2 linked regions of the Astyanax mexicanus genome follow. Each later gene encodes a partner of the first gene's protein in a complex. Links are inferred from orthologs where the notes say so. Each region holds a gene or a part of one and is shown on either strand. Other genes may lie near its edges.

Evidence for each region.
Region 2: the proteins of kiaa0895l (region 1) and tubulin alpha-1B chain are in contact, whole or in part, in a cryo-EM structure (PDB 7Z6S), measured with the Homo sapiens proteins. The link is inferred for Astyanax mexicanus from reciprocal best matches to the Homo sapiens genes MATCAP1 and TUBA1B. Residues at the interface, in NP_001035805.1 of Homo sapiens: Lys219, Cys220, Trp223, Val226, Arg227, Gly237, Glu238, Val239, Val240, Val241, Gln242, Leu243, Met253, Met254, Val255, Glu256, Asn257, Ser258, Arg259, Pro260, Thr261; in NP_006073.2 of Homo sapiens: Asp345, Trp346, Arg422, Glu423, Ala426, Ala427, Glu429, Lys430, Asp431, Glu433, Glu434, Val435, Gly436, Val437, Asp438, Ser439, Val440, Glu441.

The regions. Positions count from the first base shown.
Region 1 is NC_064423.1:32,457,181-32,468,725, reverse strand, and holds the start of kiaa0895l (uncharacterized protein KIAA0895-like), read right to left. Parts: upstream 5,829-11,545; 5' UTR 5,601-5,828; intron 294-5,600; 5' UTR 218-293; coding exon 1-217. Other genes in the region: NAD(P)H dehydrogenase [quinone] 1, read right to left, coding at 9,776-10,126, 11,111-11,212, 11,507-11,545. UniProt on the Homo sapiens protein: Tyrosine carboxypeptidase that removes the C-terminal tyrosine residue of alpha-tubulin, thereby regulating microtubule dynamics and function. Also able to remove the C-terminal phenylalanine residue of alpha-tubulin TUBA8.
Region 2 is NC_064431.1:14,468,323-14,480,884, forward strand, and holds tubulin alpha-1B chain, read left to right. Parts: upstream 1-6,934; 5' UTR 6,935-7,069; coding exon 7,070-7,072; intron 7,073-9,809; coding exon 9,810-10,032; intron 10,033-10,141; coding exon 10,142-10,290; intron 10,291-10,364; coding exon 10,365-11,345; 3' UTR 11,346-11,632; downstream 11,633-12,562. Other genes in the region: tubulin alpha-1A chain, read right to left, coding at 1,814-2,794, 2,883-3,031, 3,138-3,360, 5,154-5,156. UniProt on the Homo sapiens protein: Tubulin is the major constituent of microtubules, protein filaments consisting of alpha- and beta-tubulin heterodimers. Microtubules grow by the addition of GTP-tubulin dimers to the microtubule end, where a stabilizing cap forms.

The sequences.
Region 1 (11,545 bases):
GCCTTTGCTCCGGCTGCGCACTGCCAGTGCAGGGCTGAGCCTGAGGTCCATTGTGCAGCAGTCTCTCCCTCTGGGTGATGCTGCTGGTTCTGGCTCTGGCCCGAACTGGTTTGGGTTTCTCTGGTTTAGGTTCTGCCTCTGGAACATCTAGGCCAGTAGCAGCCATGCCCTCCCCATTAGCCCGCTCCATACAGTCCTCCCCTAGATCCAGCACCATCGCAGCAAGCCCACCTCAGTCAAACCCTGCTGCAAACATGCCCGCCAGAGAACAGATGCTGTGCCAGTTTTGAAATCTGATGGGAAAAAAATGACACACAGGATACATTAGAACTGATACCAACTTTTTTTAATATTTATCCTAGTATCCTAGTAGGCCAATTACCCAACCCAGTAATGCCCCAACACCAGGAAGGTCAGCCACAAGCTGCTGCAGATGCCACATTGATGAGTAGCATCACAGCAATAACGCTCGGAGGAAAGCGCAGCGACTCAGTTCTGATACACCAGCTCACAGAAGCCATGTGCTGATCAATGCCACCCATTGTAGTGAGAGTGCCATCTACCCCCCCAGAGAGAGCAAAGACAATTGTGCTCTCTCAGGGCTCTGGCAGCTGATGCCAAACTACATGACCAGGATTTGAACCGGCGATCTCCTAATCATGGTGGCAGCGCTTAGCCCGCATAAGGCATAAACCAGCATAAAGCCTAAACTGTGGTTAAATGAAAAGGGAATTTTGTGCACCAATATGTCATACTTAAAGTAATGGAAAACTGGGTATTAAGTGTTAAAGAGTTAACTCAGGTAATGGCTTAGGAACACCCAAACCTATGAGGTGTTATCTTGTGAGTGACGTCACGGAAAGTCAACGTGAATTATAAGAGTGAGTCAGCTAAAAGAGTTTGGTCTCAAGACTCATGTGCTTCTATGCGCTGTTCTGATGCTCCCTTGTTGCGATGTCACAATACGAAAACCTGCATAGAACCACCCTGGCGCCACCCTCACCTGTCTCCCCTCACCAAAGCAGACTTTGTCTGATGGAGGGATCCTAGCATTTTCAAATAAAGATTTTTTTTCTACTATCACAGTTAAGCACAAGCTAGCTTGTTCCTGTTTTGCCATTAGGGTTGCAACGGTATGAGATTTTCACGGTATGATAACCGTCTCGGAAAATACCGCGGTATCACGGTTATCACGGTATCACAGTTTGTTACATATATTATTAAACTGACCCTTAAAGAAATTACAACAAAGTTTTTTTGTTCAATTAACTATTTATTGTAGAAACTACACCATCAGGTGAAGGAAACCATGTTTTCCCACTACTCTTAAAGGGGACATGAAACACTTCAAGTATTTCGTTTAATTCACAAGATGTATTTTCACTCTAACAAATTTTATAAGTTTAACAGTTGTCAGTGAAGCGGAATTAAAATAATAAGCAATCTAAATGTCATTTTTTTAAGTAAGGGCAGCGCCATCTTGTCCCAGCGCTGAAAGTGACGTCACGAGGTTGGTTCTCGCACGCCTCACTACTATGATCTATGAGAATACTGTAATTTAGCTCCTCAATAAATAATAAAATCCAAACCAAAACTCAATGCAGAGCGGGGGGGCACTTTTGTATTGCCCCTGTGTGTAGTAATACTGGGAGTAGTGAATTTTAATAGGGTGAGGAATGAGAAATATTTACTTTCACTTTCATACCTTCAGCGGGGCTCGCAGCGCTGAAGCGTGAGAATCCTCCGGTTAGCTGCTAGGGGTTAGTGGCGAGCACTTTCTAGACCAGGACTATGTGAAGGAGAGGGGTTTGAGTCAGGAGCATTAGAGCCGGATAAATAAGCTGAAGTCCGAGGCTTTTTTCCACCGTTTTTTATTTTTCCTCTGATCAGCTGGAATGTACAGACCGTCCGACTGATGGTAAAGTTACTATGAGAGCAGCAGCTGTGAGCCGCACCAGCCAAACAACACGCCCACCCAGCAGAGCAGCGAGAGGTACCGTTACCGAAAATCTAGATAAAATGACAATTTAAAGATAACATAGCTAGCGTTAGCTACTTAGCTAGCTATCTTATTCTAGCTAGCCAACGCTAGCTAACTAGCTAACACTAACTAGATGAAGCTAAGTAACCCAGTAAGCTTTCTAACTTCTAAACTGAACGGTTTATCAACCAAACAGCGCCTGGATGTTTCAATATCCACTTAAATCATGTTCGTTTCATTCAGTCTTAATAGACTCTGGACTTTGCATGTTAAATAGCTAAATGTATATAAAATAGCTGGTTAACTGGATGGTAGTACCTGCTGTGGACGCGCTGCAGGGTTCTGCACGGCTCCACGTAGAGAGAGAATAAACACTCCCAAAACGTCTCGCTCTCAGAAAAGCATCTGAAAAGTTCTGCTCAGGTTTATACAGGAAAGATCTCTGAGCAAATGCTCCATGTTAGCCTAGTTCAGCTTCGTCTTCATCCATAATCTCGACAAACAATAAGCTCTTTTCCTCTAGTTATATGCCTGGGATCTTAAACCAACCAACCTCGTGACGTCACCAGTGCTGCACGGGCAACATGGCGGCGCCCTAGCTCAAACATAACAAACATAAATATATTATAATTTAGTGTGTAAACATTTTATATAAAAAAATCCCCCCCAAGTAAATTCCATTATATTTAATACCTTAGAAAACTTGTACAAACTGAAATGTTTCATGTCCCCTTTAAGGGCATTAAGAGTGTATATATATATAAAAAAAGTTGGTATATAACCAGATACTGCAGAAAGAGGGGATTTATTTCTGACATGATCCTCACAATAGAGATTTCTATTTTAAGGCTTTCACACCTTAAAACCTTCAACATATGAAAAACAGGCACGTCAGAATTTGAAAATTAACGCATGTAAATGAATGGCGTCTTTCACATCCAGTCCGGCCAGGACCTTTACACGGACACGTGAATCCATCGTAGCACGCACTTCACGCCTGTACCTGCGTGCCCAAATTTCGGATAACTAAATAAATTACCGCATGGGTTGTGCACGACTACAAAGAAGTTTTATTTAGGTTATTTAGGTAAAATTATAAACTGAACACATACTTTGCGCTGCACAGCGGGGTGGTGTTCTCGGAGATGGGAGAACAGGTTTGATGTATTTCCTCCTTTAGCTGTGACTACGGCCACATTGATTACAAGCTTGTTGATTACAAGATTACAAGTCTGTTTTCAGGCTGTTTGAATGAGCGAAATATGATCAGAATTATGTTAATTAACACTAACATAGAAGCATAGAACTATTATTTAATAAAAATGATTTTTAAGAACAGCTAAACACAGTGCGGAGAAGTTCACGTGCGAGAGAGAGAGACACAGAGAGAGAGAGAGAGAGAGAGATTTGCGTGTTCTGATGTGAGCTACTCACAGGTAAAGGTTCTCTTTTATCTCCTCGTGCTCATTTTAGTCCAATTCATAATTCTGCAGTTTCTCAGTGTTTTCTGTCGTATTTTGCGGCTAGCGCGAGCGCTTACAACTAACACCGCGGACCGCGAGGTGCAGCCGCGCTGCCGCTGTTATGCCGAATCCGACTCCCTGCTCAATCCGACTCCCGCTTCGCGGACAGAATCGGCACAACACCTCCCGCTGCAGAACTGCGGGAGTGAAAACAGCGCTTATAAATAGGTTAGTTAAGTTTCACTTTCAGTTTTCGTTATTTGGTTCGTTTTCATTAACAATAATAATTGGTTACTTAGCATTAACATTGTGATTATCACACCAGAGCTTTATTTAAAAATAAAATATATAATTAAAAAACAGATGCCTACATCTCAGACTATTTTCTGGAGCCCAACCCGACCCGGCCCGAGGAATGTGGTGGGAAATCTCGGCCCGAACGGACCTGATTTCGGGTCGGTCCTCGGGTCAGGTCTGGTTCGGGCAGAGAATCTAGGCTCTAGTCTGATGCACTTTCTGCCATTCTCACCGCTGTGTGCTGAGTAGCTGAAGCGGAGCAGAGTTGCGCATGCGCGGGTGACTTTCTCCGCTGGCTTGCGTTTTACCGGTAATAAGCAAACACACACGGTATGATAACCGTGCATTTTAATACCACGGTATACCGTGAAACCGGTTACCGCTGCAACCCTATTTGCCATTAAGCACAAGTTACCACTAACATACAGTAAACGCTCACCGTATACATGGCGTGGTCAGCTAAAGCTCATTTGCATAAAAGTGACAGGGCCCCTAAATGCCACGTTCTGAAAGGGACTAAAACTGGTAAGAATAGAGCCGGTGAGTTAGGATTAATTATAATGTAATGTAAAGTCTACAACCAAACATGAGCATGAAGAACCAGCATGAAAAACATTTTTAAAATGTTGCTTTCATTTCTAAACCAAAACATGTGGACGAGTTTCTCCACATGGGCTACTATTGTGTACTATTTTGTACAGAACTGTGTGAGTTTTCTGTAGGAAAAAGGACACGGTACAGTAGTACAGTGAATAGTAAAGTATAAATCAGTATGAATCAGTGTATGGTCTATAGTAATATATATATATATATATATAGTACAATATAAATCAGTGTATAGTGTTAATCAGTGTATAACCAGCAAGTATAAATGAGTAAATTGTACAGTATAAATCAGTGTGTAGTATATAAATAGAGTTTAATTAGTGTTTAATCAGTGTGTAGTGTAAATCTGTGTATAGTATGATATCAATCAGTGTAGTGTATAATCAGTATAGTGTAAATGGGTGTAAATGCAGTAAAAACAGTGTATAATTAGTGTATAATCAGTGTATAGTGTGAATTAGTTTATAGTGCAGTGTAAATCAGTGTACAACAGTGCATAGACAGCATATAAACAGTGTGCAGTGTACATTTAGTGTATATCCGTGTGTAGTGCAGTCTATAATCAGTGTAATTCAGTGTACAGTCTGTGTATGAGTGTACAACAGTGTATAAACAGTGTACAATGTATAGTCAGTACAAATCAGTGTATAGCATAAATCAGTGTACAGTCTGGATATGAGTGCAGAACAATGTATAAACAGTGTACAATGTATAATCAGTACAAATCAGTGTATAGCATAAATCAGTGTACAGTCTGGATATGACTGTATAACAGTGTATAAACAGTGTATAAACGGTGTACAATGTCTAATCAGTACAAATCAGTGTATAGTGTAAATCAGTGTACAGTCTGGATATGAGTGTATAACAGTGTATAAACAGTGTAGTGTATTATAAGTACAAATCATTGTATAGTGCAAATCAGTGTACAGTCTGGATATGAGTGTATAACAGTGTATAAACAGTGTACAATGTATAATCAGTACAAATCAGCGTATAGTGTAAATTAGTGTATAGTGTATAATCAGTGTATATTGTATAGTACAGTGTATAATCAGTGTAAAATCAGTGTATAATCAATGTAAATTAGCGTATAATGAGTGTATAATACAGTATAAATCAGTGTACAGTGTATAATCAGTGTAAATGAGTATATAGTGTATATTTAGTGTAAATCAGTGTAAATGAGTGTATAGTACAGAATAAATCAGTGTAAATGAGAGTACAGTAGAGTAAGGCAGTACAGTACTCACCATGCAGGGCTGTGTTTTGGGGTTTTCCTGCTGAAGCTGAAGGACAGACAGGGCTCTTTGTGTAGCTGCGGTTCGCAGCCCGCGGTTCCCCGGGTACAGAGCGGTACAGAGCGGTATAGCGGGGCGGGGATAGCGGTATAGCGGGTAGCGGATCTGCCGGGGGTTGGGAGGAGCGCTCCGCTCAGCGCGCCGGTGACTGCGCTGGAACAAATGACGCGCTGGCGCAGCCATGACACGCGGCGTAACCACGTTCCCGTGCGTGATCACGCACAGACATCCCCGCCCAGAACCCTCCTTTTCCCCCCCAACCCCAATCCATACCTCCCCATCCCTCATGCCCCCATCCTCACATTCTCCCTCTATCCCCTGCTCACTCCCCCATCTCTCTACTGTCATATCTGATAACTATCGCTAGAGGGAGCCCAAAATACATGGGAGTGAATGGAGCTAATCAGCTACAAACATAAATTAAAAATAGTAATTAACGTTTTAACCAGGATTTTACTTTACCGTGGAAAGTAAAGTATTTTATATATGATTTATATACGTTTTAAAGCTTTAAAACTCTATGTATAAGCCAATTTAAACTCTGTGTGCTCTGGCTGTAACTTTAGCATCAGCTCACCATACAGTCTCACAGCTCACAGTAGCAGTAATGCAGCACCTTTACTGCCTAAAACCCGTTTACTAGAGAAAAAGTAAAATATATATTTTGGTGTTAATGTCATATTTAGCTAAATATACCATTTAGCTTTATATAATTCAAACAATCAAGTGATCAAATGGATATTTAATTTAGCTCCATTCACCCCATTCATTTCCGACTCGCTCGCGGGCTCCCTCTAGCGGTTTCATATAAAGGGGGGAATATAAAGTGGGCAGTCTCTTTATTAACGGGCTCTGGTGGTCTCTCAGCTCCTGTGCTGTGATTGGCTGTGGAAGGTGTTTGTTACCTGTTACAAACATATCTTTGACATAGTGGCCATAAAATGCAATTTTCGCCTGTTTTAATGGTCCCTCTGTTCAGCTTAGAATATTAAAAAACTGTATCACTGTATCACTGTACACTGTATCCTGGTTTATGGCTCATGTGAAAGTAAATACTTGGTTTTAAATTCCATTCAAACACTGTCTAACAATACATTTCTCAACATTTACTCTGAATCAACACACATTTTCTAAATATAATTAAGTAATAACAAATACAATGTCCACAATGCTGCCTGGTTAAGTTTAATTATTATTTTTGATTGGTAAATAATTTTCTAATTGTATTTATACATTTAAATTTAAATTAAGGCATTGACATTTTTCATTAAAGTGAGTATTAATTTTTAATAGGCTATAAAGCTGGCGGAATATTTTCTTTAACTTATATATTTAACTTTATATTTAACTATTATATGATTATATGATTTAACTTTAACAATTTATGGTTTTGTTTTGTTGTGTTTCTGATATATATTTTGTTTCTGTGTACTTAATTTAAATATTTAACCTCAAATAGTTTTCCCCATTTTTATTTTTTTTTTATTTTTGTGCACCAAGCAATATTGTAAAACTTTATATTTAACAGTATTATATTATTTCATTTGAAGAATAGAAAGCTGTCAGACAATGTTTCCCATGAGAGGATGGTAAGCAGAGGGTAGATAGCCCTGTACTCATGAATAATTAAGTGCCAGGAGCCAATCAGACACCTCAACAGCACAAATTATAAATGAAGTGCAGAGTGAGGTTGAATATAGATGTTTAATTAAGTTTGCCTTTGTGTTACCCAATACATTACTTTAAAATTCTCTACATATTTAAATAGTTCAATATTTTGTTAAATAGCTAAATAAACATTTAAATGCCTAAATTGTGAAAAATATATCTAAAACTCGTTAGACTGCTTTTGTATAAAACAACTATGCTGTAAACACAAAAGTGTCAGAATAGGATATATTCAAAGTTATTGTCATTTTTTAGAGTACAGTTTCAGAGCCAATTAAATGCAATTAGCATCTTACCTGAAGTGCAATATACAATGATATTTACATATATGGTTTTCAGCTATTTAAGGGCTAATCAGCTTTTAATCGAACTTTGATTATATAACTGATCATGTTGAATCAAAAAGCATTCCCTCTCTGACAGGAATTTCAGAAAGTTATTTTGCTTTAGGAAATGTATAACAGTAGACCAGCTAGTCAGTAGACAAGCTAATCAGCTATTATGTTGTTCTCTCTCATTTACACTCTTCTACTGGAGTAATAAAAGGAATAAAAAATCTGCAGTATGTAAGAAAGCTGCATGTACCACCAGCCACCAGCAGAGGTCATGGACGCTGCAGTGGAAGAGCTGGTGGATCTGGGCCAAACAAAACTCCAAATCCCAGAATCCCCAGCGATAATCAGCACTGACCAGGCTCAGCTGTGGGACACAGTATGAAACCCCCAGTCAAACCCTAGTTCTCTGTCGCACATTTGTAGAGGGGTGACCAGTAACCGTGGGTAACAGAAAAAACAGAATATATTAAAAAAAGGAAAGAGAAAAAAGAAGAGAAAAAATACGAAAGAAAAGATTAAGAAAACAAAAGAAAGATAAACTATCAGGGCGAGTCTACTAAAGAGCTGGCCAATGCAAATAAAATATGAAAAGACAGACAGTTGTTTTGTGTTGATAAAGAGCTGAACTGCACAACTTTAAGTTGAGCTCACATGTTTAAAAGCCAGCAGTAAGCTCTGGAAAAAATAGAGATTTATATGTTTATGTTTGAGTGAAATGAACATTGTTGTTTTATTCTATAAAATAAGGACAACATTTCTTCCATATTCCAAATAAAAATATTGTAATTTAAAGCATTTATTTGCAAAAAACAAGAAATGGCTGAATCAACAGATAAGAGCGTTCAGACCTCAATTAATGCAAAGAAAACATTTTAATGCATCTTAGCATGTTCTCCTCCACCAGTCTTACACACTGCTTTTGAATAACTGTCACTCCTGGTGCAAAAAGTCAAGCAGTTCAGCTTGGTTTAATGGCGTGTGATCATTCATCTTGATTGTATTCCAGAGGTTTTCAATTAGGTAAAATCAAAGAAACTTATCATTGTTAAGTGGCCCTTTATTTTTTTCCAGAGCTTTATTTCTGTTAAGTGTAAAGTTCCAGTATTGTAGTTGTAGTTTTACGGCTTTCTTTTGTTTTAACACATAATCTTTGGCATTTCATTTGTTTGGCTTTCCCACCATTTTTAAGGCCCTATTTTCCACTGGTTTAAATCCCATCTGGGGCAGCACGAGCACTCCTTTACCATTAATAAGTAATAAATAAGTAACTGTATCTTTCTACTTGAACAATAGAAACAGACCTGAATATGACATAAAACCTGTGATCGCCTGAGCAGTTAGTAAACAGGGGGTAGATAGCCCTCTACACATGAATAATTAAGTGCAGGTTGCCATTAAGACACCTCAGCAGCACAAATAATGAATGAAGTGCAGAGTGAGGTCAGTGTAGATGTTTAATTAGGTTTGTCTTCAACTTTGAAAAATGGAAGGCACATTTACATAAAGCCATTGCATTAAAGAAATTGGACAGTTCTAGCCAGATAATGCTCTATAGTGCACTATAATCCAACCACAATCAGATTCACTCCATCCGGATGGAGAGATTGATATGGTTTTTATGGATTTTTGATAAAAAATCACAATGAAAACAGGCTGAAGTGAAATAGGAGTAGCAAGGCTATTTTTAAAATGTAAGGAGTAGAAGTTAAAGTCCACTAAGGTATTATTAATAATCTAGTAATTACTCTAATAAAGTTTAGATAACCAATATTTCTACTTAAGTAAGGAAACCAAAGCTTTATTACTTGACACCTCTGCAGAGGTAACATGATCAATTTATATACTGCTGTTCTATGACTTTTGGATAGTCAGTGTGTTTTAAAGTCATTATGTTTAGAAGATCTAAAAATTACATTGAACATTGAATATCACATCAAATCATTTATTTCTTTATTATCAGATCAGTGAGTAATGAACACAAATCTACATGATGCAAAACAAAACATTGTTGCAAAAAACAAACATATATATGGGTAATCACAACATAAAAGCACTACTGTTTTTAGTAATTAGCTCAAATTTATCTTTAAAAAATTACATTCAGTATCAGAAGTCGTCAGTGACTCAGACTTTCTTTTGTGAGTGTTTCGCTGATGCTGAGGGATCACATGCAGAAGAAGCCTTGGTCTGGTTGTCTGGGGGGAGGGGTTTGCCGAGGTGCTGCCCGGTGGTGAGGCCGTATGATTTAGAACGATACTCTTCCTTCACCTCAGGCCTCAGTTTAAACCCTGCTTGGAGGCTCAGGTCAAACAGCTTACCAGAAGCAAAGGCCACTTTCTTTTCCTCCAGCAGACCCTTCAGCCTCGCCTGCCAGGACTCCAGCATGGCTGCTCTGTCAGAGGGGGAGGCACGAGCAGGACCCCAGAAGATCTGAGGAGCCAGAACCTGAAACCCACAAAAGTGCAGAACTCCATTCTGCAAGATATGATTGTATTATTATTAAAATAATAGAAGAAAGAGAAATAAATAATATATCTTACATTTAAATTGACTCTTATTTGATTGGAACCAAATTGAAAACTTCTGGAAAATAATCAAGAGGAAGATGGATGATCACAAGACATAAAACCAAGCTGAACTGCTTGAATTTTTGCACCAGGAGTGAGCAGCATAAAGTTATCCAAAAGCATAAAGTGTGTAAGACTGGTGGAGGAGAACATGCCAAGATGCATGAAAACTATGATTAAAAACCAGGGTTATTCCACCAAATATTAATTTCTGAAATTTCTGTTTTGTATGGTCAACATTTTAGTAAATAATATACATCCATCCCTTAATTTCAGGTCTTCAATACATCTAGGACAAAAGTCAGGACCAAGCAATTAAGGACTATAACAATGTAAAATAACTAAATAATGAGGTAATATCAACATTTGTCTGAAATCATGATTTAGTATAAAAGCAGTATCCATGGGGCGCCGAGTGGTCCTGTAGTCTAAAGCACTGCCACTATGATCAGGAGATTACTGGTCCGAATCCCGGTCATGCAGCTTGCCATCAGCTGCAAGAGCCCTGAAAGAGCACAACTGGCCTTGCTCTCTCTGAGTGGCTATGAGTTTATACAGAGAATTTTAAAACAAAGAATACAGCAACTGTTAGCCACCTTAAGAATGTCATCTGAACCATTTTATTGCTTAGTAACCTCAGTGCCAAAAGTGTTGTGAGAAGGGATGGCAACATTACAAAGTTATAAATGTTTTACCAGCCCAATGTTTTTTTGGAATGTTTTGCAGGCCTGAAATGCAGGAATGGATGTCTATTAACAAGCAAAATTAAGTTAAGCAGACAAAACATGACATTTCTTGGTTTATAATGTCTGCAATGAACGCATTTTCCTTTTTGAGCCAACATTTTCTGTACATTTCTGTTGTTCTGTACTTATACAGTATAGGTTCTCACCTGTAAGGGCCATAGCATCACATTGACGTCTCCATTGATACCATCAGGTTCGTACTTGCATTCCGGTGCTCCAGTTGTGAATGAAAGCAAGGCTTTTTTATCCTACAGTGTGAATTAAGCAAAGTCTGGTTTTAACCAAATTTTTGTACAGTTTTACAATCTGACTTCATGATTATTTTGAAGCTTAATCGTTCTAAAAGGTCACCAACACTGATTCTGGAGCTTTGCCTTAATGCATATATCCATAATAGTATTTACTGCCTTCAGATGTATTCGATTAACTGAATTATTGTTTTATTTGTGCTGCAAGATAACAGATCTCCAGGCCCGAGAACAGGAGAGCACTGCTCTACAGTAGACAAATAATGATTGGCTGAGAAATGGAACAGCACGTACCTTACACAAGCCATTATCATACGTGTTCTGCAGAGTGTA
Region 2 (12,562 bases), on another chromosome or scaffold:
GAGATAGGTGGAGGAGAGAGGGAGAAAAGTAGAGAGAAAAAAGAGAGAGACAAGTAGAAAGAAAGAGAAAAAATTAGAGTTAGAGAGAAACATAAAGAGAGATTGAGAGGTATAGAAAAGTGTGGAGAGAGTGAGAGACAATTGTAGAGAGAAAGAGAGACATGAGTACAGAGCAAGAAAAAGAGAGAGTGAGATAGAAACGTAGAGAGATAGAGAGAGATAGGGAGAAATAGAGAGAGGATGGAGAGTGAGAGAGAAACATAGAGAGAAAGAGAGAGACAAGTAGAAAGAAAGAGAAAAAGTTAGAAAGTAAAATGAAAATAAAAAGTGATAGAGAAAAATAAAGAGGTGGGGAGAAAGTGAGAGGAAATAGTAGAGAGAAACAGAGAGAGAAAATTAGAGGGAAAGAGAAAAAGGGACAGAGTGAGAGAAAGTAAGGAGAGAAAGAAAAGTGTAAATGAGAAAAGTTGAGCGAAATAGAAAGAGAGACAAGAAGAGAGAGAAAACAGAGGAGGACATTTAGGACAAAAGGAGCCTATAGTGCACTACCTCCCTCATCAAAACACATTTTTCTAAAAGCCATAATGACTATAATGTTATATTAAAAAGTTAATGTTGGTAAATTTGGGATGCACTATACTCCATGTGAACCCATTGGGATTACTTGGATTTCTGCATAAATTGGTAATTAAATGTGTTCTGATCACAACAATAGACAAACACAGTATGCTTAAACTAATACCACACAAAAAATATATGTTTGTATGGTTTTATTGAACACATGTTAACATTCCTGAAAATCAGAACACATCGTACCTATTATACCTATTCATGTTTTTTTTTTACTTTTATATTGTTATTTAAATATGTCTGTATTTGGAGAAACTGCAAAGTAAGAATTACATTGTACAGTGTAACTACTTGTTTCTGCTGTGCATATGACAATGAAACACTTCAATCTTGAATAAACACATATATAGCAGTGAGCTATATATATGTCATATATATGTCAGTATAAAGAGCCTCCTATTTGACTCCAGGACACTGACTTCTAAGTGAGAAAGTGTGGGTGGCAAGTCAGCATTTTTTGATTTTCAGACACAGCCATAGTAAATTTTATATGTCTAATTATCCATGATCACTTTTTAAAATTATCAACAAGCATTACAGATTACTTTAACATTATTATAGAACAATTATGGATATATATGGATATATATATATATATATATATATATATATATATATATATATATATATATATATATATATATATATATATATATATAATATATGGATGCTAAAATATCATAAAAGGTGAAACACTGCTTTACTGTTGTAGCCTTTTTACAACTGTACTCAACAAAGTCATTCATTTGGGCAGCAACAGGTAAACAATTGTTTTACTGACTATTGGTAGGTGTTAGAGGAACACACTGTGTAATTACAAATTACTCCATGCCAATAGAGGGAGCCATAGTGTAACTCCTAACTGCAGATGGCAAGTCATTATTGAACTCCAGTAAACAATAGGTTAAAATAGCACAAGACAAAATTTATTAGGAATGGTTTTATTCAGGTTTTGACAGCAAATAACAGATTACACAATGCCAGAGAAATAACAATGACTTTCATAGACATACTGCTTAAGGAGTTTTGGACTACACTGAACCTAAACCACCAGAACTGTTCATGCCTGATATGCTGTCCACCATGCTGTGACAATGGCAGCAGCAGTCAGTCCCAAGAATAGGCCCTACTCGGTTCTTTCTAACACAATGTGGAGAGACATACAGGAACAATTTTAGGACGTTTAGTACTCCTCTCCCTCCTCCTCTCCCTCGCCTTCTACGGAATCAACGCCAACCTCCTCATAATCCTTCTCCAGAGCCGCCATATCCTCTCTGGCCTCAGAGAACTCTCCCTCCTCCATACCCTCTCCTACGTACCAGTGCACAAAGGCACGCTTGGCGTACATCAGGTCGAACTTGTGGTCGAGCCTGGCCCAGGCCTCTGCGATAGCTGTGGTGTTGCTAAGCATGCACACGGCTCTTTGGACTTTGGCCAGGTCACCGCCAGGGACCACAGTGGGGGGCTGGTAGTTGATACCAACCTTGAAACCAGTTGGGCACCAGTCCACGAATTGGATGGAACGCTTGGTCTTGATGGTGGCAATGGCGGCGTTGACGTCTTTGGGTACGACGTCACCACGGTACAGCAGGCAGCAGGCCATGTACTTGCCGTGACGTGGGTCACATTTCACCATCTGATTTGCAGGCTCAAAGCAAGCATTGGTGATCTCTGCCACTGAGAGCTGCTCGTGGTAAGCCTTCTCAGCAGAGATGACTGGGGCATAGGTGGCCAGAGGGAAGTGGATACGAGGGTAGGGCACCAAGTTGGTCTGGAACTCAGTCAGATCAACATTGAGGGCACCATCGAATCGGAGAGAGGCTGTGATGGAGGACACGATTTGACCGATAAGCCTATTGAGGTTGGTGTAGGTAGGACGCTCGATATCGAGGTTCCTACGGCAGATGTCGTAGATGGCCTCATTGTCCACCATGAAAGCACAGTCGGAGTGCTCGAGGGTGGTGTGGGTGGTCAGGATGGAGTTGTAGGGCTCCACCACAGCGGTGGACACCTGAGGAGCTGGGTAGATGGAGAACTCCAGTTTGGACTTCTTGCCGTAGTCCACGGAGAGGCGCTCCATCAGCAAGGAGGTGAAACCAGAGCCGGTACCACCTCCAAAACTGTGGAACACCAGGAAGCCCTGGAGACCAGTGCACTGGTCAGCCTAGAAGAGATACAGAATAGATTTGTTAAATTGTTAAATTGTCAGACTCAGATTAGGGTAATCAATAAATCTAACATAAAGTCCTCACCAGTTTGCGGATCCTGTCGAGAACCAGGTCGATGATTTCCTTGCCAATGGTGTAATGGCCACGAGCGTAGTTGTTGGCAGCATCTTCTTTTCCAGTGATGAGCTGCTCAGGGTGGAACAGCTGGCGGTAAGTGCCGGTGCGAACCTCGTCTGAGAGACAAGAGGACCAAGATGATGATGAAGCATCAGATCTAAGCTGATGGTACTAAACTGGCAGGTGATGAAATACAGTCATCATAACTGGGGAACTGCTTACCAATCACAGTGGGCTCCAGATCTACAAACACTGCTCTGGGGACGTGCTTGCCAGCTCCTGTCTCGCTGAAAAAGGTGTTGAAGGAGTCGTCCCCGCCACCGATGGTCTTGTCACTGGGCATCTGACCATCCGGCTGAATGCCATGCTCAAGGCAGTACAGCTCCCAGCAGGCATTGCCAATCTGGACGCCAGCCTGTCCAACATGGATGGAGATACACTCACGCTGTTGGAAGAAAAATGCCATTGAAGTCACTCAATTAAAATCACACATGAAAAAGATATATATAGGTCTGTCACGATAGTTACATTATCGACTTATCATACAAAATACAAGCATGACTTCAAATATTTTGCTAACCTCAAGATTGACCACAATTACTATATGGCTTTATTTTACATAAGAATTCATGTTACCAATAGTTGACAGTCAGGGGTAAAGAGGTGTTCCCTGAGGCTCCGATATTTGGTTTTAAAGTGACAGTCTGTAAGTTTCGAAGCTTTGGGGATTTAGTGGCCTCTCTGGTGAGAATGTGTAATTGCACAGAGCATGTGGAAAAGGAGCTGCTATTTAAATGCATGCTTTATGCAATACTCATAAGGGAAACTACACAAATTAATTCACTCAACGTTATTGTGCACACCTTTTTCAATTAAATGCTAGACTATGTTATATGTATATTTTGCGATATTTTGCTGGTCTGTGATATATATTGTGAAACGTATTAGATTTAGCCAAGAATGACTGTTCAAATAATAATGCCATAATATTAATAATGAACTGTGTGTAATATAAACTGGAGTAAAATTAATGATGTTGATTCAGATATAATGGTAATGCATGTTAAGCTATGGAAAAAAAAACAATGTCAATCATTGCTAAACTGATATATTGTGCACCCCTATTAGAATGGCAAGTGGAGTGTGTTTTAGGAATGCACTGTTGAACTTTATAACTTTAAAAATAATCAAAATAATATAAATTAGATAAAAAATTGATTTTAAAGTAGCAAAACCAGTCAATTGTAGTAGTATGCATAGCCAGTATTGCTAGGTCCTTTTCCAGCGTACAACAGATCCATCATCAAGTATAGGTTTGAAATATTGGCAATATTAATCGTGCTTCAATAAAAATGTGTATCCTTACAGTAGATTTGCTGTAGAAACTAGGCCTATGTATTTGTATCACTGTACATGTGTAAATCAGTATAAATTGAAATAAACAGCGTCCAGCATATTTAACATAAACAATGTGTGTATTACTTCGTAATAAGAATTGTATTCACAAATACTTAAAGCATTTTAAGTATTTATAATTTGTGACTATATTAACTATATGCAGGTTTCTGACTAATTGTTAAGAGACCACCTTAAATGTTTGTCTAAAATAATAATGATCCATATGCATGGAATATTGCAAAATAGTGGCTATAGACTTTTTTTTTATCATTAAAGAAATGGGCAGTTTTTGGCATTGCAATACCAGTTACACTGTCAAACCTGCTAGACAAGTGTATTAGTAAATTACTGAACAGTCTGCACATTTTGCATGATTCAGCATTATTGCAGTCTTTGAAATATGTGTCTGTATATTTCTGTCCAAATTATGCTCCAAAATTCTATGTACCAATATATTTTCAATTAAGTCTGATATGCTTGGTTTACTTGAGGCTTCTATAATAATATTATAAGTTTATAATTTCTAAATCTGGCATTATTAATAGCCAAACACAAGTAGCTACAAGACTAAATATATTCTGTCATTAAGTCAATTTAATTTTTAATCATTGTTTTTTTTCTACATTTCTCTAGTTGTGTTAAATCTCTTTGTGTCTGGGAACAATAAGGCAGAAGAAGCATGGTGCTGGACCCACCCTGATGCTGATCTTTAAAAGAATCAGCATTTTTCTAAACTCATCTTTAGTCTAAACCTAAACGTTTATTTCCACGTGTAAACGTCTAAAATCACAATATTGAAGGTATTTTTAATCTTATGCAGAAATAAAGTTGATATCTCACCATTTTGCCCTGTTTCTGGAGATGATGCTGACGCTGGAGAGATGGACGCGGTCCAGACAACGGGGGAAGCAGAGTAAAGAGGCGGCGCTCTTACTGAGCATGCGCGCAGGGATTTCTCCACCCGTTTTCCGGAGAGCCACGCCCTCCTGTGCTGACTGGGATTGACCAATGGTTATAGCGGACTCCGCGTTGGTGTGATCTACTAGCCAATTGCAGCGCGGTAAGGCGGGGCATATCGGAATACGGGTGGGTGAATGGAGCATTGATCCAGTATTTGGCGCAGCGAATATTAGTAGTAGGGTATTAGAGATTTACTGTAATAATCAGGTTTATACAACTATGATTGTACCACGGTGTGTATTAGTATATGTACAAATTAACATGCTAAATGTTTGTCTTAATTATAAAGTAATTATAATTACATTTGTCATACATTACATTTAAAAAACATGAAATAAATCTATATTTTTATTTAAAATTTCTTGTATTTGTTATTGTATTTTTCACAACAATCATATCTTATATTTAAGACATAATTCATTTTTAATTGGGGGCATTAATAGGTTTCTAAATATTTGACAGTCCACCTTAAATAAGCTGAGCAATATGATATTATCAGTCTCCACCCTGTGATTTTATGTTAGTTAAAATAATATTGTATGCATCTTCTTGTATGGAAAACTGCATCATAGTCACTGTACACCCACTTAATGATAGCAGTCATTCAGGGCATCCAGGAACAGTTTTTTGCACTGCAGTGCTAGTGCCAGTTACACCATCAGGATAAGTGAATTTATAACTAGTCTGCACTATTAATTTTGCATAATTTAGCATTGTAGCGTTATTATATATATTGTATATATGTTATATTATATTATATTATATCAGATTTCTTTTATTATTATTATTTGCTATATGTGTATGTGGTGTGTGTGGCCTCCAGGCCACCGCCCTTCTTTGTCTGGTCGTTTTTGCTGCAGCACAATGACGTCACCATCTGCAGTGCGCCACGTGATCAGCATCCCTCATCAATAATGGACCCGCCTGTCTGGTGCCTTTTTATTCCACTCAAAATCCCAGTTATAAATGTATTAACAGGTGTAACTAATTATCTATATTTTTTCATATTATTATCATAATGTAAACCTTTATGTGCCCATATGACTGGTTATTAATTAAAGATGATCTTCAGTAGTAAAAAAAAAGAAAAAACCTGGACTGATAGCTGCTTTATAGCATAAGCAGAATGTGCATCCTACATTTGTATTTGCAGAGCTTTATATAACAACAGATGAATGCAGGTAACATTTTTGAGCATGCACATATTACAAATATGCTTAATTTGCAGAGATACATGGAAATCCCCCATTCTGTATAAAAATCAGTCTTGAGCACACATGAATGAAATTTGTTTGATTATACATGTTTGTGCATTCTTGCAATATGCAATGTGGTGGAAACAAACTGAATTACAGTACAATCTCACTGTCTGTGTAAAAAATGCTATTTATGACCATATTGAGTGTGCAAAAATGTAAATTTGCTTGACTATACGTATTCATTTATTCTTGCTACATGCACTGTGTAGAAAACTAGGGGCATATACCAGTCTTCATATTAAATGCAGTTAGGGACCAATATTAAGCATGCACAAATGTAAATGTTCAAATCTGTGCAAATTAGTGCATTCCTTCAGCATGCATTGTGCAGAACTACAATGAAATTCCACTGTCTGCCATCTCAATGCCTCGTGTGCACGAGCCCAGCCCCCCTCGGGCCCGTGCCTTTATAAAGTGGTGCGCCACACCGACAGCAAGCAGTTACTGCATCGACTCTTAGCCGTCGACGAAGGTAACCAAACCGCATCAAGAAACCCAATTTCCCTTTGTGTGAGCTGACCATCTAAACATCTCAAAATGGTAAGTACACATATATATATATATTTTATATGATATTAATTGTATATATATATAAAAGTGTTTGTATGATGTAGAGACAGACATGTCTGAAATGACATAATATAATCTGAATTTATTAAATCCTATTTTTACACGCACCTAGTGAGCTATATGTTTTTATTAATCGGTTTGTTTTAATGGATTATTATTTATATAAGCTGCTTATTCTTATATTATCTAGTTAGGTTAGGTTAACGTTAGGCATATGATGTTCCCTGTCTTCTCTGGGCGATTTACTCAGTGTAACTTTATTACACGAGCTGTTACTGGTTTGAAAAGACAAATAAGTCAAAATGTTCTATATTGTATTCGCTCATTTTATCGCGCTAGTTTTGAATAGGGTCAATTTAGACGTCTGTAAGACGTGGGCGGAGCGCGTCCGTGCTTTTTCCTCTTCGTTTTTAAAATATATATATATATATTTGAATGTCGTAAGTTTTATGTGGCTAAAGCTATGAAATAACATTTATATATTTTCAGTAGTGTAATTTGACCTGTACATTACGTTATAGTTATAGGTGTATAGCTATATCAGCCCTGATAGCAAAGAACATCGAATAAACGTTGTTTTTGATGGAATTATTACATGATCTTTTTAGAGTGGTTAATGGATAAAAGCTAACTAGTTAGAAATATTAGCTCTCACATATGTTAAATATGATCTAGCAACCGCATTTCTATACAGCGCTAATTACATAGCTAATCTAGCTAAATAGATTCTCGGATGCGACGAATTGCCCGTTCCACCTTAATTCCTACATGTATCTAACATGCAGGCTGGCACCAAAATGCCATTGCTGTACCACTATTTAAGGTGGAACACTATCAAACCTCCTTTATTTGAATCGTGAAAGAGTTTATCGGGGTCAGAACTCAATTCTTTTGAAATGTAAATGCATTTCTCGGAGCAGTGGCTTCCCTAGAGCCTGTAAGACAGAAGGTTAGTCAGAAAAGCCGATTAGCATTTGTGGTTCTCTCTCAGTGTCTGTTCAGAACAGTGAGGAGAGGGAATGTCACAGGCTCCCCGCCGAGACCAGTGCGGGGGGATGGGGACACCCGCCCCTCAAAGACAATTACTGGCTTATAGCCTCACAGCTTTAACCACAATCAAACTTAGTCAAAACCTCCACATACCTCCAATTATCGTCGAATATTCGTGTTTATATAGCAACTGCAGGGTTTATTAGTTGCTACTTTCAGTATTTTAGTCCGAAACGAATGAATGAATGAATCTGAAAGAGAAACCCTGTTGCTAGGCAACGGGCATACTGTGCAAATCCCTTGGCAGCAGCTGGATGGAGTCTGAGACCGAGGAAGGATCCCTACATAGTGCACCATATATACCATATATATGGAAAAAAATAAGAGACCACTTAAAAATGACGAGTTTCTTTGATTTTACCAAATTAAAAGCCTTTGGAATATAATCAAGAGGAAGATGGATGATCACAGCCGTCAAACCAAGCTTAACTGCTTGAATTTATCCAAAAGCAGTGTGTAAGACTGGTGGGGGAGAGCATGCCAAGATGCTTGAAAACTGTGATTAAAAACCCGGGTTATTTTTGCATTGAGGTCTGAATTTTTTTTTTGGTTATTTCAGCCATTTCTAATTTTCTGCAAATAAAGGCTCTAAATGACATTAGTTTTATTTGGAATTTGGGAGAAATGCTGTCCGCATTTTATAGAATAAAACAACAATGTTCATTTTACTCAAACATATACCTATAAATAACAAAATCAGAGAAACGTATTCAGAAACTGAAGTGGTCTCTTGTTTTTTTTTTCAGAGCTGTAAGTGGTCTCCAGGCAAAAAGAATCCTCCTATACATGTTTTGTCACATACATGTTTTGCTATGTAGCCCATTATATATCTATAAATATTTATTTTTCACCTAGATAAAATACTTTATATTAATTTTTACACAAATAGTGTACTGCTCTGTAGTGTATTTGGTGTGTTCTAAGCATAGATAGAATGCATAATGCATAAATCTAAATGAATAAATACATTTATCAAATAATTATTCAAAGAAAAAGCAATTTCAAAGCTACTATGTAAAAAGATTTTGGGATGGGATTTTTTCAGACAGACTAGGCTGGAAAATGGAAATGAGGGCGTAGTCGAATGGAAGAAAGCAAGGGTGAGTGACGGGACATGGCGTGATTTGCACTACCCCCGCCCTTCTGCGGCACACACTGTGATCCTCGCTGCTAGTTCACTTGCTGTGCCAACATTTACGCCAAGCCAGGGACGGATCGAGGTCTTGCCAAGCCTGTGGGCACAAGTGACTTTAAAAGCCTCATTAATCTAAGTAGTGAAGCACTAGAAATATAAGTAGCCAAATATAGATAGATTTGTGTATGATTACAGTTGTGGACAGAGCCCCTGGGCATTGGCCTGTCTGGCCATAGCTTGAGTTTTTGCTAATGCCATCTTAAACTGTTCTGAACTGGATGCTGCTACAGCCTTGCGCCTTTATATATGATTAATGTAAAAGTTCTGTAGTCTGTACTACTGGAGTGGCTGTATTACTTTGCATTAAAAACATAATTTAATGTAGATTTGCAGGTCTGACTAGGGCTTTATCTGTAATCTTAAGCACATCATGGTCTTTATTTGCATGATCTGTTAGGACAGTTAAGATTGATGTTTGTCTTTATGTATGACTTGAATAACTGGTTCTTTTTCTTCCAACAGCGTGAGTGTATCTCCATCCACGTTGGCCAGGCTGGCGTCCAGATTGGCAATGCCTGCTGGGAGCTGTACTGCCTTGAGCATGGCATTCAGCCGGACGGTCAGATGCCCAGTGACAAGACCATCGGCGGAGGGGACGACTCCTTCAACACCTTTTTCAGCGAAACAGGAGCTGGCAAGCACGTCCCCAGAGCAGTGTTCGTGGATCTGGAGCCCACTGTGATTGGTAAGCAATTCTCCATTTATGATGACTGTATTAAATCACCTGTCTGTTTAGTGCTGTTAGATCAGATCTGATGTTTTATCATCATTAACTTGTTTCTATTGTCCTTCAGACGAGGTTCGTACCGGCACTTACCGCCAGCTGTTCCACCCTGAGCAGCTCATCACTGGAAAGGAAGATGCTGCCAACAACTACGCTCGTGGGCATTACACCATCGGCAAGGAAATCATCGACCTGGTTCTCGACAGGATCCGCAAACTGGTGAGGACTTTATGTTTGATAAGGTTTATGATCTGATTACTTAGATTAACAAATCTATTCTGTATCTTTTCTAGGCTGACCAGTGCACTGGTCTCCAGGGCTTCCTGGTGTTCCACAGCTTTGGAGGTGGTACCGGTTCTGGTTTCACCTCCTTGCTGATGGAGCGCCTTTCTGTCGACTACGGCAAGAAGTCCAAGCTGGAGTTCTCCATCTACCCAGCTCCACAGGTGTCCACCGCTGTGGTGGAGCCCTACAACTCCATCCTGACCACCCACACCACCCTCGAGCACTCCGACTGTGCTTTCATGGTGGACAATGAGGCCATCTACGACATCTGTCGTAGGAACCTCGATATCGAGCGTCCTACCTACACCAACCTCAACAGGCTGATCAGCCAGATTGTGTCCTCCATCACCGCCTCCCTCCGATTCGATGGTGCCCTCAATGTTGATCTGACCGAGTTCCAGACCAACTTGGTGCCCTACCCTCGTATCCACTTCCCTCTGGCCACCTACGCCCCAGTCATCTCCGCTGAGAAAGCTTACCACGAGCAGCTCTCAGTGGCAGAGATCACCAATGCTTGCTTTGAGCCTGCAAATCAGATGGTGAAATGTGACCCACGTCACGGCAAGTACATGGCCTGCTGCCTGCTGTACCGTGGTGACGTCGTACCCAAAGACGTCAACGCCGCCATCGCCACCATCAAGACCAAGCGTACCATCCAGTTCGTGGACTGGTGCCCAACTGGTTTCAAGGTCGGTATCAACTACCAGCCCCCCACTGTGGTGCCCGGCGGTGACCTGGCCAAAGTCCAGAGAGCCGTGTGCATGCTTAGCAACACCACAGCTATCGCAGAGGCCTGGGCCAGGCTCGACCACAAGTTCGACCTGATGTACGCCAAGCGTGCCTTCGTGCACTGGTACGTAGGAGAGGGTATGGAGGAGGGAGAGTTCTCTGAGGCCAGAGAGGATATGGCGGCTCTGGAGAAGGATTATGAGGAGGTGGGTGTTGATTCCATTGAGGGTGAGGGAGAGGAGGAGGGAGAGGAGTATTAAACAAGATGTTCTCCCAACCCAGTCACTAGTATGCTATCACACATCAGGAGATTTTCAGCACTGATCCAGTAGTATGAGAGCATTCTCACACAGTCCTGCTTTCTCTTATAAATGTTCAGTTTATCTGAAGTCTGTTCACTGATGCTATGATGTGTTGATGATGGGATGTCATGTTGATAGAAATGGTTTTCAACTTGCTGTTATACTCTTGCTCTCCTGAGAAAGATAAACACACTTGTCTGTCATCTTCTGACTGTGATGCACAATAAATTATTGAGGGAAAATAATGTATTTTGTCTGTTTTTTTTTTTAAATATATAAAGATATTGCACACAAATCCCATACCCATACAATATTTTTTTTTACTTTAATTACTTATTTAAATTTCCCTGCCGAATAAGCAGATTTTTTTCTGGAGCAGTTTGTGGTATACACGAGATCTGGTCTTGATCCGACCCAGCTATCAAATATACTTTTTTAAATTGAGCTACACTGCTGATTAGGTGCAATGCATTCTTATATATAAGCCAGATAATATTCTGCCATAAACAAACGGTGACTCTGCTGCTTCATGCTGTTTACATGCACAGTGTGTGCAGCGCTCACTCCTTGCAGCCCAGTAACTCTGTTTACTATATCTGCTCTGCATGTCCAAAACCTTGCTTAAAAAGCAGCCACACATTTTCAGCGTTCAGTGTTAAAGCAGCTTCACACTGCACAGATATACACACTGAAACAGAATCTTTTCACTATATTTACTTTCTTGCTACTGCGCCAGACAGCTCTGACCAATCAGAGAAGACAATGTGCTTGCATTGGTGTGCATGCGTTGGTGCGCATTTTGGTGCGTTTAGGTTGGTGCCTGTGTGAAACCAAACATGAGGACTCATCAACTGATCCGGACTGTAGAAACAAACTACAGGTGTGAAAACACCCCTTTTATACTCAGCAAATTAAGTTCTAATTCAAAAATCCTTACAACCAAGCTGAGTTGTTCACAAGAAAGTAAAAAATTTCCTCTGTCCAATTTGTCATGCATTCTTTATAACAGTGCCCCAAGTTTGTTTTATATCCCCTTAAACATACAAGTATATACAAATATAGCATTTTAATTTACACCACTTATATAAATATTATACCACAGTAAGAACGGACCCTGCAATGTGATTGCCTGAGAGGCATTCTATGAGTACCATTATCAACCGGTAATGCACTGC